2 linked regions of the Xenopus tropicalis genome follow. The main gene of each other region encodes a partner of the protein of the gene in region 2 in a complex. Links are inferred from orthologs where the notes say so. Each region holds a gene or a part of one and is shown on either strand. Other genes may lie near its edges. The genes, in order: pnoc and oprl1.

Region 1 (7,876 bases), on a different chromosome or scaffold from region 2:
CTGATATCGCTCAGCCCTACATATATACATTACTGAGCTGCCCGTCCTGATATTGCTCAGCCCTACATATATACATTACTGAGCTGCCCGTCCTGATATCACTCAGCCCTACATATATACATTACTGAGCTGCCTGTCCTGATATCGCTCAGCCCTACATATATACATTACTGAGCTGCCTGTCCTGATATCGTTCAGCCCTACATATATACATTACTGAGCTGCCCGTCCTGATATCGCTCAGCCCTACATATATACATTACTGAGCTGCCCGTCCTGATATCGCTCAGCCCTACATATATACATTACTGAGCTGCCCGTCCTGATATCGCTCAGCCCTACATATATACATTACTGAGCTGCCCGTCCTGATATTGCTCAGCCCTACATATATACATTACTGAGCTGCCCGTCCTGATATCCCTCAGCCCTACATATATACATTACTGAGCTGCCCGTCCTTATATTGCTCAGCCCAGTTTTCAGAAGGGCTGTCCGAAATTGACGGGATTGGCCAATCGCCACGTCATGACCCCACCTCCATTTTTAAGAATGAGAATTTTTTGCTTAAAGCAAAATAATAGATCCCCAGTAATACTTTGTTAAAACACATTCATCTATATACTAATACTATATATAGGCACTATTGTTTCTGTTGGTATATTTGAATTTTAAAAATGATCTCTGCAGAGGCAAATGGTGTACCCCGGAGCTATGTATAAATATATAGAGAAGGAATATTCTGTGTATTCTCTTCTGACTCCATTTCACTTAAATAGGAATCCCCAAAACTGCTTAGTGAGAGTTGTCACACACTCCCATAGAAGTGAATAGGAGGCAGTAGTGAGGACATGAAACTGGATCAGTGCTTTTATTGGCAGAATTGGCCCTCTCTGCAGTCAGGCTGAAAGGCACACATGGCCCATAGCAGCCATTCTGCTGATCAGCAAAGGCGAAAATACATTTAAATGGAAAACAAAAACTCATTGAGATATTCTGTAATTATTATATTTTGCTTATATAACACCAACTTATTCTGCAGCACTTTATAGTGATTATACATCACTCACATCAGTCTGTGCCCCAGTGGAGCTTACAATCTAAGGTCCCTATCCCATTCCCGTCAGCCCCTGCCCCAGTGAGCCTACAATCTAAGGTCCCTATCACATTCCCATCAGTCCCTGCCCCAGTGAGCTTACAATCTAAGGTCCCTATCCCATTCCCATCAGTCCCTGCCCCAGTGGAGCTTACAATCTAAGGTCCCTATCACATTCCCATCAGTCCCTGCCCCAGTGAGCTTACAATCTAAGGTCCCTATCACATTCCCATCAGTCCCTGCCCCAGTGAGCTTACAATCTAAGGTCCCTATCCCATTCCCGTCAGCCCCTGCCCCAGTGGAGCTTACAATCTAAGGTCCCTATCACATTCCCATCAGTCCCTGCCCCAGTGAGCTTACAATCTAAGGTCCCCATCAGTCCCTGCCCCAGTGAGCTTACAATCTAAGGTCCTTATCCCATTCCCATCAGCCCCTGCCCCAGTGAGCTTACAATCTAAGGTCCCTATCACATTCCCATAAGCCCCTGCCCCAATGGAGCTTACAATCTAAGGTCCCTATCAAATTCCCATCAGTCCCTGCCCCAGTGAGCTTACAATCTAAGGTCCCTATCACATTCCCCTCAGCCCCTGCCCCAGTGAGCTTACAATCTAAGGTCCCTATCACATTCCCATCATCCCCTGCCCCAGTGAGCTTACAATCTAAGGTCCCTATCACTTTCCCATCAGCCCCTGCCCCAGTGAGCTTACAATCTAAGGTCCCTATCACATTCCCATTAGTCCCTGCCCCAGTGGAGCTTACAATCTGAGGTCCCTATCACATTCCCATCAGTCCCTGCCCCAGTGAGCTTACAATCTAAGGTCCCTATCACATTCCCATCAGTCCCTGCTCCAGTGAGCTTACAATCTAAGGTCCCTATCCCATTCCCATCAGTCCCTGCCCCAGTGAGCTTACAATCTAAGGTCCCTATCCCATTCCCATCACTTCCTGCCCCAGTGGAGCTTACAATCTAAGGTCCCTATCACATTCCCATCAGTCCCTGCCCCAGTGAGCTTACAATCTAAGGTCCCTATCCCATTCCCATCAGTCCCTGCCCCAGTGAGCTTACAATCTAAGGTCCCTATCCCATTCCCATCAGTCCCTGCCCCAGTGAGCTTACAATCTAAGGTCCCTATCACATTCCCATCAGTCCCTGCCCCAGTGAGCTTACAATCTAAGGCCCCTATCACATTCCCATCAGTCCCTGCCCCAGTGAGCTTACAATCTAAGGTCCCTATCACATTCCCATCAGTCCCTGCCCAAGTGAGCTTACCATCTAAGGTCCCTATCACATTCCCATCAGTCCCTGCCCCAGTGAGATTACAATTTAAGGTCCCTATCCCATTCCCATCAGTCCCTGCCCCAGTGAGCTTACAATCTAAGGTCCCTATCCCATTCCCATCAGTCCCTGCCCCAGTGAGCTTACAATCTAATGTCCCTATCACATTCCCATCAGTCCCTTTCGCAGAGGAGCTTACAATTTAAGGTCCCTATCCCATTCCCATCAGTCCCTGCCCCAGTGAGCTTACAATCTAAGGTCCCTATCACACTCCCATCAGTCCCTTTCGCAGAGGAGCTTACAATTTAAGGTCCCTATCCCATTCCCATCAGTCCCTGCCCCAGTGAGCTTACAATCTAAGGTCCCTATCACACTCCCATCAGTCCCTTTCGCAGAGGAGCTTACAATTTAAGGTCCCTATCCCATTCACACATACACAGGAGGCAGTATGGGTTTGTAGTGTAGGAGGACAGAAGGTAAGCCACACAGACATGGCAAGGACAAACAAACTCCGTGCAGATAGTTCCCAGGCTGGAACTGGTACTAGGGCCCCGGAGCTGCAGAGTTACCATTTATGATCAACCCTAGAAAAAGACACACAACCAGTAACTGTTATCTGATCCATGTGAAGCTATGTCCAATTTTCCTTTATCCAAAAGAGCAATTGCACCAGTACTAACCACCATGACAAGAGTAGTATTATAGAGTACCTTTGTTATTATATGTAATTATAATTAACTCTTTATTAACATCTGAACTTTGGAATAAAACAAGAAATCATTTTGGATAGATTATGATTAAAGGAGACATATATGAATGAAAAAAACCCTAACCTTTGTAGGCAGTTATGAATAATACATGGTGCTAAACATTAATCCTATCTGTAAAAATGGCCCCTTTATTGGGGGTTTCTATAGATCCTCTCAGGTCCCTGTCTGTGTTTCAAATGAGGGGTGGCTGTGTCCTAACAGTCCAATCACAGCCCTGTAGTCACACAAGCAAAGACAGGTTTCAGTTCCCTATTAGGTCAGCCTAGCTGCTGATTGGTTCCTGTACCATCTCTGGCAAATAGGGGTATAAGTATTTTTGGAGCAGAGCAGACTCATTCCCTTATATTGGTGGGGATCGCCTGTATTTTGCCCAAACGAAATGCGTGGCTCTCATACAGCCTGCCTATTCTATAAGATGATATGGCAATACGCCCAAGCGTTAGGGTTTCACCAATGACTTACCAGAGTGTTGAAGTTGTCTTGTTGGTAGAGGTGCTTGTTGCACGTCATGCAGTCCTTCTGGCAGTCGCACAGCACGTGTCCCAGCAAGCACAGCAAGACTATATTCCACTGAAGCGCCTTCATCATGGCTTCACACAGAGCTGCAGGGAAACACACATATATAATTGTACAGCGCTGCGGAATATGTTGGCGCTTTATAAATAAATGTTAATAATAATAGTAATAATATTTGTATTATTGCTGGGGCCGCCAAATACAACCTGTTTGCCAATACAGTGTACTTAATGCATGGAATCAACGGTGGTGGCTCAGCTGCTCCACCTACAGGCAGTAAGGGTTAGGGGATTCCCAGGTAGAATGGGGGTACGCTATACTCCCCCACTATTCTCTACACCCATCCTTGCAGGTTGGGTCTTTACTTGGAGGCCCCTATAGAAGTGATATCTGTTTTAGTGGGTGAAGGTTGGCCACGGATTTACCAAACCGAATATAAAAACCATCCTTGCTAATAAGCACCTTATTATTAAATGTAGTATTTAACCCCATTCCGTATGCCCGCCACAGGCAAGGGGCATGTAATAGTGCGCTTATTTTCCAGCATATCTGTGATGTTTGAAATAACAAAAATTAGCAATTTATATATTTTTTTTTTAAAGAACAGAATAAGAGGAAACATGAAATACAAAAGAGAAGAAGCAGACTGAGGGGGAGGGACCAAAAGGCACAGGTACCCATTGATAAGCTGGAGCAAGAAAGGCCATAAAGCAAAGGGGGCTCTATTTAATAGAATGGGGAGGAAAGGGAAATACATTGAATATTGGAGCTGGAAAACAGGGGAGGTGGGGGAACTAATAGGAATTGGGGGGGGGAGCAGCAGCACCTCCATAATCCATAGCCCTGTCTATATGCAATTCAGCATTTGCTAATTTAATTGATAAGTATCAATAGTGCCCAATCAATAGTAAGCTGTGCATATAAATAATGAGGAGCTGGTAAGTGGCCAGGCAGACATTACAATATACTGTACTTTTCGCGGATAAAGGCAAATTAAGCTACTGTCATATTAATATCATTCCGCGGCCATATTTGTATAACAGAAGCAATAATCACGCACCATTTGCCAGATCTGTACACTTCATCAGGCTGTTTATGGGCCGATATTGAGCTGCTGGGAGATTACCAGTTTATATCCCCGCGTCTGATCTTATTTGCCGGTTGCCATTGAAGGGCAACTAACTGATTCCTGTTGCAAGCAGAGCGAGCAGTTTATATGAGCTGTCACACCTATCTAGGGTTTGCTTGACTCATTTAGTTAGACCATGTGACACATACAAAGAGAATGATGGGTTAGTGGGAGGGACCTCTAATTAGTATGGATAATGATAATAATGCACAATGAATAATGATTAATAATAATATGAAATGTTTCTCATTTTTCGGTGGGTTTTGCCTTTACTGATTCAGTTATACCATGTAACATATCCACATATAATACAGTGGAGGAAATAATTATTTGACCCCTCACTGATTTTTTAAGTTTATCCAATGACAAAGAAATGAAAAGTCTCAGAACAGTATCATTTCAATGGTAGGTTTATTTTAACAGTGGCAGATAGCACATCAAAAGGAAAATCGAAAAAATAACTTTAAATAAAAGATAGCAACTGATTTGCATTTCATTGAGTGAAATAAGTTTTTGAACCCTCTAACAAAAAAAGACTTAATACTTAGTGGAAAAACCCTTGTTTGCAAGCACAGAGGCCAAACGTTTCTTGTAATTGATGAGCAAGTTTGCGCACATTTTAGGAGGAATGTTGGTCCCACTCCTCTTTGCAGATCATCTCTAAATCCCTAAGGTTTCTGTCTCTGTGCAACTCTGAGCTTGAGCTCCCTCCATAGGTTTTCTATTGGATTAAGGTCCGGAGACTGACTAGGCCACTCCATGACCTTAATGTGCTTCTTCTTGAGCCACTCCTTTGTTGCCTTTGCTGTATGTTTTGGGTCATTGTCGTGCTGGAACACCCATCCACGACCCATTTTCAGTTTCCTGGCAGAGGGAAGGAGGTTGTCGTTCAGGATTTCACGATACATGGCTCCGTCCATTTTCCCGTTAATGCGAATAAGTTGTCCTGTGCCCTTAGCAGAAAAACACCCCCAAAGCAAAATGTTTCCACCCCCATGCTTGACGGTGGGGACAGTGTTTTGGGGGTCATAGGCAGCATTTTTCTTCCTCCAAACACAGCGAGTTGAGTTAATGCCAAAGAGCTCTATTTTGGTCTCATCAGACCACAGCACCTTCTCCCAGTCACTCACAGAATCATTCAGGTGTTCATTGGCAAACTTCAGGCCTGCACATGTGCCTTCTTGAGCAGGGGGACCTTGCGAGCCCTGCAGGATTTTAATCCATTGCGGTGTAATGTGTTTCCAATGGTTTTCTTGGTGACTGTGGTCCCTGCTAATTTGAGGTCATTAACTAACTCCTCCCGTGTAGTTCTAGGATGCTTTTTCACCTTTCTCAGAATCATTGACACCCCACGAGGTGAGATCTTGTGTGTAGCCCCAGAGCGAGGTCGATTGATGGTCATTTTGTGCTCCTTCCATTTTCGAACAATCGCACCAACAGTTGTCACCTTCTCTCTCAGCTTCTTGCTAATGGTTTTGTAGCCCATTCCAGCCTTGTGCAGGTCTACAATTTTGTCTCTGACATCCTTGGACAGCTCTTTGGTCTTTCCCATGTTGGAGAGTTTGGAGTCTGCTTGATTGATTGATTCTGTGGACAGGTGTCTTTTATACAGGTGACTAGTTAAGACAGGTGTCCTTAATGAGGTTGACTAATTGAGTAGAAGTGTCTAACCACTCTGTGGGAGCCAGAACTCTTAATGGTTGGTAGGGGTTCAAAAACTTATTTCACTCAATGAAATGCAAATCAGTTGCTATCTTTTATTTAAAGTTATTTTTTCGATTTTCCTTTTGATGTGCTATCTGCCACTGTTAAAATAAACCTACCATTGAAATGATACTGTTCTGAGACTTTTCATTTCTTTGTCATTGGACAAACTTACAAAATCAGTGAGGGGTCAAATAATTATTTCCTCCACTGTATGTGGCTCACACATTTACCAAATGTTCAGTGACAGGAGCTACAAAGTTTGAAACTGCCCCCAGGCCCTGGGATCTTAAAGGGGAGCTATCATAAAAATGTTTACTACCCCCCCTCCAGCAATCTGGCTCTCTTCCTTCTCTCTCCATGCAGGGAGAGTCATATTTTGATGGCCAGTTATGCCTGGGGTTGCCTGCTTTAGTCTCCTGGCAGGGGGCGGGCGTTGATGTCACTGGGTGGAGAAAAGGCGGGGCAGTGTAGCTATGGCAGCCAATCGCCGCATCAATCTCAGCGAGCCCTGCCCGGTTTTGAAACCGGGTCAAAACCGGACAGTTGGCAACCCTAGTTATGCCTAAAGCTGCCCATACACACATGTTTTGTATGATTTTCAAACCGTGTGTGGGCTCCAAATGATCATCCCGATAATTTTCGTACCATGTTGATCTGACAGGTTAGAAAATTCCGCTCGGATTACTATAAAATCTGTGCAGTATTGTGTATCTGCCAATATCCTTGGGGCCCTACAATGGGAGTCACTTTGGTACCATTGGTGCCTGTAACTATTTCATGTTCAGAACCATTGGTTATATTTAGGGCTTTATCCTACAATTTCAGGCTGAGTGTGAGTTTAGATTGTTGCATTTAAACTTACGATCCATATCCGAACGTTCATTGGAAGAAGACTCAAATCTGAACATGTATGGCCGGCTTTATACTTCAGCGGTGGGGGGCTTTTTACCATGAAGATGTATTAGAGCCGTCTTTCCAAATAACCGACTTCAAGCCAAATCCAGTCTCTACATGCAGCTTTGTGTCACAGCCTGTTATTTAGAAGGAGTTTGTTTTAATACACCTTCTAGGCAAAGCACCCCCCCAATAATGTAGTAGCCCTAACTGTCCATAAGAATCTTAATTATTTGAGAAAAGGTACAGAATGTTTGACTGTATGTCGCTCTACCGATTGTGAGAAAACCTAGGGAATTGTCCCTGCTATGACGCTTCCCATTTAGAATCCGGTTAGGGTCGCCGTGCCCTTGAGTGACGCTTTCTGGCTTCCTGTGAGGGTTATGACCCAAGTCTGGGTTTGAGCACTGCCGTGTTTGCCACGGGGAATTGCAGTCTGTTACCTTTACATTAAAGGGCACCGGTCACCTTAAAATTGCTTCCCCCAC
Region 2 (7,876 bases):
GGTACAATGCTGGGGTATAATGCTGGGGTACAATGCTGGGGTGCCACAATAACTGCACAGGAAGGTATAGATGGGGCACCTTTGAAAGAGCTGAGTTTTTGCATAATGTGGATTTGGGGGTTTAGGGGGCTAAGAAGTCAATGGGGGTCCCAAGTCTGAGGGCCAATGACGTAGACATGTCATGTGATGTTCCTACACAGATATACAATATACACAGATATACAATATATCTGCCCCCATGGCAGGGTGCGGCCCCCACTGGCCCCCATGGCAGGGTGCGGCCCCCACTGGCCCCCATGGCAGGGTGCGGCCCCCACTGGCCCCCATGGCAGGGTATGGCCCCATGGTCTGACTATGGCTTTGTCTCCGCTCAGATCCAAGGCAACCAATCACAGCCTTTCCAACCGGAAGACCCTCGTTATATTAAAGGGCTTTCCTGTGCCCTGTTGCCCCGGTACCCCATGGCAGCAGGAAGATACCAAACAGACCTACCGGGCTGCACACAGGGGGCACGGGGTTTTATAAGGATCACAAAGTTATTTTGAGTACAATGCTGGGGTACGATGCCGGGGTTCAATGCTGGGGACAATACCAGGGTAAAATGCCGGGGGACATTGCTGGGGTACAATGCTGGGGACAATACCAGGGGACAATGCTGGGGTACAATGCGGGACAATACCAGGGGACATGCTGTTGGTACAATGCCGGGGACAATGCTGGGGTACGATGCCGGGGTTCAATGCTGGGGACAATGCTGGGGTACGATGCCGGGGTTCAATGCAGGGGACAATGCTGGGGTACAATACCAGGGTAAAATGCCGGGGACAATACAGGGGACAATGCTGGGGTACAATGCAGGGGACAATGCTGGGGTACAATACCAGGGTAAAATGCCGGGGTTCAATGCAGGGGACAATGCTGGGGTACAATACCAGGGTAAAATGCCGAGGGGACAATACCAGGGGACAATGCTGGGGTACAATGCCGGGGGACAATGCTGGGTTACAAGTACAATGCCGGGGGACAATGCTGGGGTACAATGCCGGGGGACAATGCTGGGACAATACCAGGGGACAATGCTGGGGTACAATGCCGGGGGACAATGTGGGGGTACAATGCCGGGGACAATACGGGGACGATGCAGGGGTACAATACCAGGGTAAAATGCCGGGGACAATGCTGGGGTACAATGCTGGGGACAATACCAGGGGACAATGCTGGGGTACAATACCAGGGTACAATGCCGGGGGACAATGCTGGGGTACAATACCGGGGACAATACCAGGGGACAATGCTGGGGTACAATGCCGGGGACAATACCAGGGGACAATGCTGGGGTACAATGCCGGGGGACAATGCTGGGGTACGATGCCGGGGTTCAATGCTGGGGACAATGCTGGGGTACGATGCCGGGGTTCAATGCAGGGAACATGCTGGGACAATACCAGGGTAAAATGCCGGGGGACATACCAGGGACAATGCCGGGGTACAATGCAGGGGACAATGCTGGGGTACAATACCGGTAAAATGCCGGGGGTTCAATGCAGAGGACAATGCTGGGGTACAATACCAGGGTAAAATGCCGGGGGACAATACCAGGGGACAATGCTGGGGTACAATGCGGGGGACAATGCTGGGTTACAAGTACAATGCCGGGGGACAATGCTGGGGTACAATGCTGGGGACAATACCAGGGGACAATGCTGGGGTACAATGCCGGGGGACAATGCTGGGTACAATGCCGGGGGGCAATACCAGGGGACGATGCAGGGGTACAATACCAGGGTAAAATGCCGGGGACAATGCTGGGGTACAATGCTGGGGACAATACCAGGGGACAATGCTGGGGTACAATACCAGGGTACAATGCCGGGGGACAATGCTGGGGTACAATACCGGGGGACAATGCTGGGGTACAATGCTGGGGTACAATGCTGGGGTACAATACCAGGGTACAATGCCGGGGCGACAATGCTGGGGTACAATACCAGGGGACAATGCTGGGGTACAATACCAGGGTACAATGCCAGGGACAATGCTGGGGTACAATACCAGGGGACAATGCTGGGGTACAATAGCCGGGGACAATGCTGGGGTACAATACCAGGGGACAATGCTGGGGTACAATACCAGGGTACAATGCCGGGGGACATGCTGGGGTACAATACCAGGGGACAATGCTGGGTACAATGCTGGGGTACAATGCTGGGGTACAATACCAGGGTACAATGCCAGGGGACAATGCTGGGGTACAATACCAGGGTACAATGCCAGGGGACAATGCTGGGGTACAATGCAGGGGCAATGCTGGGGTACAATACCAGGGTAAAATGCCGGGGTACAATACCAGGGTAAAATGCCGGTGGGACAATACCAGGGGACAATGCTGGGGTACATTGCCGGGACAATGCTGGGGTACAAGTACAATGGGGGGGACAATGCTGGGGTACAATGCGGGGACAATGCTGGGGTACAATGCCGGGGGACAATGCTGGGGTACAATACCAGGGTAAAATGCCGGGGACAATGCTGGGGTACAATGCCGGGGGACAATGCTGGGGTACAATGCTGGGGACAATACCAGGGGACAATGCTGGGGTACAATGCCGGGGGACCAATGCTGGGGTACAATGCCGGGGACAATACCAGGGGACAATGCTGGGGTACAATACCAGGGTACAATGCGGGGGGGACAATGCTGGGGTACATGGCCGGGGACAATACCAGGGTACAATGCTGGGGTACAATACCAGGGTACAATGCCGGGGGACAATGCTGGGGTACAATGCCGGGGACAATACCAGGGGACAATGCTGGGGTACAATGCCGGGGACAATACCAGGGACAATGCTGGGGTACAATGCCGGGGACAATACCAGGGGACAATGCTGGGGTACAATGCCGGGGACAATACCAGGGGACAATGCTGGGGTACAATGCCGGGGCAATACCAGGGGACAATGCTGGGGTACAATGCCGGGGACAATACCAGGGGACAATGCAGGGGTACAATGCCGGGGACAATGCTGGGGTACAATGCGGGGACAATGCTGGGGTACAATGCCGGGGACAATACCAGGGTACAATGCTGGGGTGCCACAATAACTGCACAGGAAGGTATAGATGGGGCACCTTTGAAAGAGCTGAGTTTTTGCATAATGTGGATTTGGGGGTTTAGGGGGCTAAGAAGTCAATGGGGGTCCCAAGTCTGAGGGCCAATGACGTAGACATGTCATGTGATGTTCCTACACAGATATACAATATACACAGATATACAATATACACAGATATACAATATACACAGATATACAATATACACAGATACGATCAAACTTAGACCCTAAAAGAGCTGACTGGACTGACATCTATTGCACTTCCTTGTGACTGAGAGAGCTGACATTTGATTGGTTAGTCTCTCCAGAGATTTGATTGGTTAGTCTCTCCAGAGATTTGATTGGTTAGGCTCTCCAGGCCCATGATACAGCCTCTCTCTTGCTGACTGGTGCATAAGCTTTTCCTGCTGAATTGCGCTTAGTACAGGGGAATCCCTATAGGGGGCTGTTCCTGCTGAATTGCGCTAAGTTCCAGAGGAATCCCTATAAGGGGCTGTTCCTGCTGAATTGCGCTAAGTTCCAGAGGAATCCCTATAAGGGGCTGTTCCTGCTGAATTGCGCTAAGTTCCAGAGGAATCCCTATAAGGGGCTGTTCCTGCTGAATTGCGCTTAGTACAGGGGAATCCCTATAGGGGGCTGTTCCTGCTGAATCAGAATGAATACAGGGAAAAGCCATCTGGGTTGAAAATTGGGGGTAAATGTTTCTTTGCATTCCCAGAATTCCAGTAAACTGATTTCCAGTACATCACTTACTTTTAGTAGCTGCTACTTTTGGTTCCCAGTTGTATGTCGGCGCTGTACGTACTTTTTGGGGGTTCAATCATATTATGCAGAGCAGTTGTATGTCGGCGCTGTACGTACTTTTTGGGGGTTCAATCATATTATGCAGAGCCCCCAAAAAGTACGTACAGCGCCGACATACAACTGGGAACCAAAAGTAGCAGCTACTAAAAGTCTTGTGTGACCTAAGCCCATTGCAAGCGCTGGCCCATATTGTAATGCATTTTATTCCCCCATCTATTCTGCACTAAAACACTCAATGAAAGTTAAGTTACCCTTGGGAGCTACTCACCATCGTTCTCCATCTCGGCGGAGCCCATGACCATAACGGGGATCCCAATGAACGAGGCCAGGATCCAGATGCAGACGTTGACCACCTTGGCCTTGTGTGGGGTGCGGATATCCAGCGCCTTGACCGGGTGGCAGATGGCGATGTAACGGTCAACGCTCATCATGGTCAGGGTGAAGGTGCTGGTGAACATGTTGTAGTAGTCAATGGCTATGGCGATCTTGCAGAGAACGTTGCCAAATGGCCAGATGCCCATGAAGATATCGGTGCCTTGGAACGGCAGGGTGACCAAGACCAAGGCGTCTGCCAAAGCCAAGTTGAAAATGTAGATGTTGGTTGCAGTCTTCATCTTGGTGTATCTGGAAAGAACAAAGATTGGTGAGAAGAAGGCAAAAAGGCCATTGAGGGGGAGATACCTTGTGGGATTCCAACATGGACCTGACAGGAACAATATGTGTTGGGTGTCTGTGTACTGGAAATAGTGGGGTGCAGATATAGCGCCTTCAGCTTTATGGCAGGAGAAGAAGATGAAAGGACTCAGTATGGAGAAGAAGTAGCTCGGTGGAACATAGGAGGCAAGGGGAGAAGAAGTAGCTCGGTGGAACATAGGAGGCAAGGGGAGAAGAAGTAGCTCGGTGGAACGTAGGAGGCAAGGGGAGAAGAAGTAGCTCGGTGGAACGTAGGAGGCAAGGGGAGAAGAAGTAGCTCGGTGGAACGTAGGAGGCAAGGGGAGAAGAAGTAGCTCGGTGGAACATAGGAGGCAAGGGGAGAAGAAGTAGCTCGGTGAACCGTAGGAGGCAAGGGGAGAAGAAGTAGCTCGGTGGAACGTAGGAGGCAAGGGGAGAAGAAGTAGCTCAGTGGAACATAGGAGGCAAGGGGAGAAGAAGTAGCTCGGTGGAACGTAGGAGGCAAGGGGAGAAGAAGTAGCTCGGTGGAACGTAGGAGGCAAGAGGAGAAGAAGTAGCTCAGTGGAACATAGGAGGCAAGGGGAGAAGAAGTAGCTCGGTGGAACATAGGAGGCAAGGGGAGAAGAAGTAGCTCGGTGGAACATAGGAGGCAAGGGGAGAAGAAGTAGCTCGGTGGAACATAGGAGACATGGACCTCTACTTAGTGGGGGGGGAGGGGCTCAATAGGAGAAGACAAGGCTCATTAGGAGAAAGGGGGGCTCAGTGGGAGGAGAAAAAGAAAGTCTTTGGTACTGGAACTATAGGAGAAGGTGGGGCTCAAGGAGAAGAGTCTCTAAGGGAGAAAGTGCTATTCTGTGAGAGAGGGAGGGGCTTAGAAGAGAGGAGGTGTGGTCAGAGGATGATGGAGTGGGCTGAGTAGGGATGGGGGGGTCCCAGTGGGAGAATGAAGGGCTTATAAGGTATAAGGTGTTTGTGTTAACGATGTTAACGATTAATGGGATAAAGAGAGTAACTGCTTCTCCCCCATCCTGCTGAGTGACGGAGTAACGGCCTATCTACCCTGTACGTGTGCAGAATGTACAGCTGTCTCTCCCACACTGAGTACAGGGCACAAAGGGAAAGAGACAGTTACACCTCACTCTCGCAGATCTGCCCCGAAGGCCAAACTCTCTATTCAGGGAACTCACAGGGCATTTGTATTACTGAGTGTCAGTGAGACCCCCAGTGAGACCCCCAGTGAGACCCACGTGGGGAAATCTCTCTCCAAGGCATCGGCCTCAGTGTCAGTGAGACAGTCAGTGAGACCCACGTGGGGAGAGTGAAGGCTTCAGCCTCAGTGTCAGTGAGACAGTCAGTGAGACAGTCAGTGAGACCCACGTGGGGAGAGTGAAGGCTTCGGCCTCAGTGTCAGTGAGACAGTCAGTGAGACCCACATGGGGAGAGTGAAGGCTTCAGCCTCAGTGTCAGTGAGACAGTCAGTGAGACAGTCAGTGAGACAGTCAGTGAGACAGTCAGTGAGACACACGTGGGGAAATCTCTCTCCAAGGCTTCGGCCTCAGTGTCAGTGAGACAGTCAGTGAGACAGTCAGTGAGACAGTCAGTGCGACCCACGTGGGGAGAGTGAAGGCTTCAGCCTCAGTGTCAGTGAGACAGTCAGTGAGACAGTCAGTGAGACCCACGTGGGGAGAGTGAAGGCTTTAGCCTCAGTGTCAGTGAGACAGTCAGTGAGACAGTCAGTGAGACAGTCAGTGAGACCCACGTGGGGAGAGTGAAGGCTTCGGCCTCAGTGTCAGTGAGACAGTCAGTGAGACAGTCAGTGAGACAGTCAGTGAGACCCACGTGGGGAGAGTGAAGGCTTCGGCCTCAGTGTCAGTGAGACAGTCAGTGAGACAGTCAGTGAGACCCACGTGGGGAGAGTGAAGGCTTCGGCCTCAGTGTCAGTGAGACAGTCAGTGAGACAGTCAGTGAGACCCACGTGGGGAGAGTGAAGGCTTCGGCCTCAGTGTAAGTGAGACAGTCAGTGAGACAGTCAGTGAGACCCACGTGGGGAGAGTGAAGGCTTCGGCCTCAGTGTCAGTGAGACAGTCAGTGAGACAGTCAGTGAGACAGTCAGTGAGACCCACGTGGGGAGAGTGAAGGCTTCAGCCTCAGTGTCAGTGAGACAGTCAGTGAGACAGTCAGTGAGACAGTCAGTGAGACAGTCAGTGAGACCCACGTGGGGAGAGTGAAGGCTTCAGCCTCAGTGTCAGGAAATGATTCATTAGAGCCATTTATTTCCCATTAATCAGTATCAATAGATTCGTTCCTGGGGGCAGAGCCAGGGGCCCCGCTGGGAGCAGCACTCAGGGAAGTCTCGGGCCCCGGGGCCACTGTCAGTCTATTAGCAAAGTCTCTCCCCGAGCAAAGAGCCAGCGAGACCCAGAAACCCCAAGAGCTCGGTCTGATCTGTAAGTGACTGCTCAGAACCTACACACAAGGGGCAGAGACTACACACAAGGGGCAGAGACTACACACAAGGGGCAGAGACTACACACAAGGGGCAGAGACTACACACAAGGGGCAGAGACTACACACAAGGGACAGAGACCACACACAAGGGACAGAGACCACACACAAGAGACAGAGACCACACACAAGGGGCAGAGACTACACACAAGGGGCAGAGACTACACACAAGGGGCAGAGACTACACACAAGGGGCAGAGACTACACACAAGGGACAGAGACTACATACAGGGGACAGAGACTACACCCAAGGGACAGAGACCACACACAAGAGACAGAGACCACACACAAGAAACAGAGACCACACACAAGGGACAGAGACTACACACAAGGGACAGAGACCACACACAAGGGACAGAGACTACACACAAGGGGCAGAGACTACACACAAGGGCAGGACTACACACAAGGGCAGAGACTACACACAAGGACAGAGACTACATACAGGGGACAGAGACTACACCCAAGGGACAGAGACTACACACAAGGGGCAGAGACTACACACAAGGGGCAGAGACTACACACAAGGGACAGAGACTACACACAAGGGGCAGAGACTACACACAAGGGGCAGAGACTACACACAAGGGGCAGAGACTACACACAAGGGACAGAGACTACATACAGGGGACAGAGACTACACACAAGGGACAGAGACCACACACAGGGGACAGAGACTACACACAGGGGACAGAGACCACACACAAGGGGCAGAGACCACACACAAGGGACAGAGACCACACACAAGGGGCAGAGACCACACACAAGGGGCAGAGGCCACA

Evidence for each region.
Region 1: the proteins of oprl1 (region 2) and pnoc are in contact, whole or in part, in a cryo-EM structure (PDB 8F7X), measured with the Homo sapiens proteins. The link is inferred for Xenopus tropicalis from reciprocal best matches to the Homo sapiens genes OPRL1 and PNOC. Residues at the interface, in NP_000904.1 of Homo sapiens: Gln107, Asp110, Gly114, Phe115, Trp116, Val126, Ile127, Asp130, Tyr131, Met134, Gln192, Glu194, Ile198, Glu199, Cys200, Leu201, Val202, Ile219, Val279, Gln280, Val283, Gln286, Gln291, Pro292, Ser293, Val298, Leu301, Arg302, Thr305, Tyr309; in NP_006219.1 of Homo sapiens: Phe130, Gly131, Gly132, Phe133, Thr134, Gly135, Ala136, Arg137, Lys138, Ser139, Ala140, Arg141, Lys142, Leu143.

The regions. Positions count from the first base shown.
Region 1 is NC_030681.2:152,382,130-152,390,005, reverse strand, and holds part of pnoc (prepronociceptin precursor), read right to left. Parts: intron 3,745-7,876; 5' UTR 3,731-3,744; coding exon of another isoform or gene 3,728-3,730; coding exon 3,605-3,727; intron 1-3,604.
Region 2 is NC_030686.2:1,582,275-1,590,150, reverse strand, and holds part of oprl1 (nociceptin receptor), read right to left. Parts: intron 4,542-7,876; coding exon 4,186-4,541; intron 1-4,185.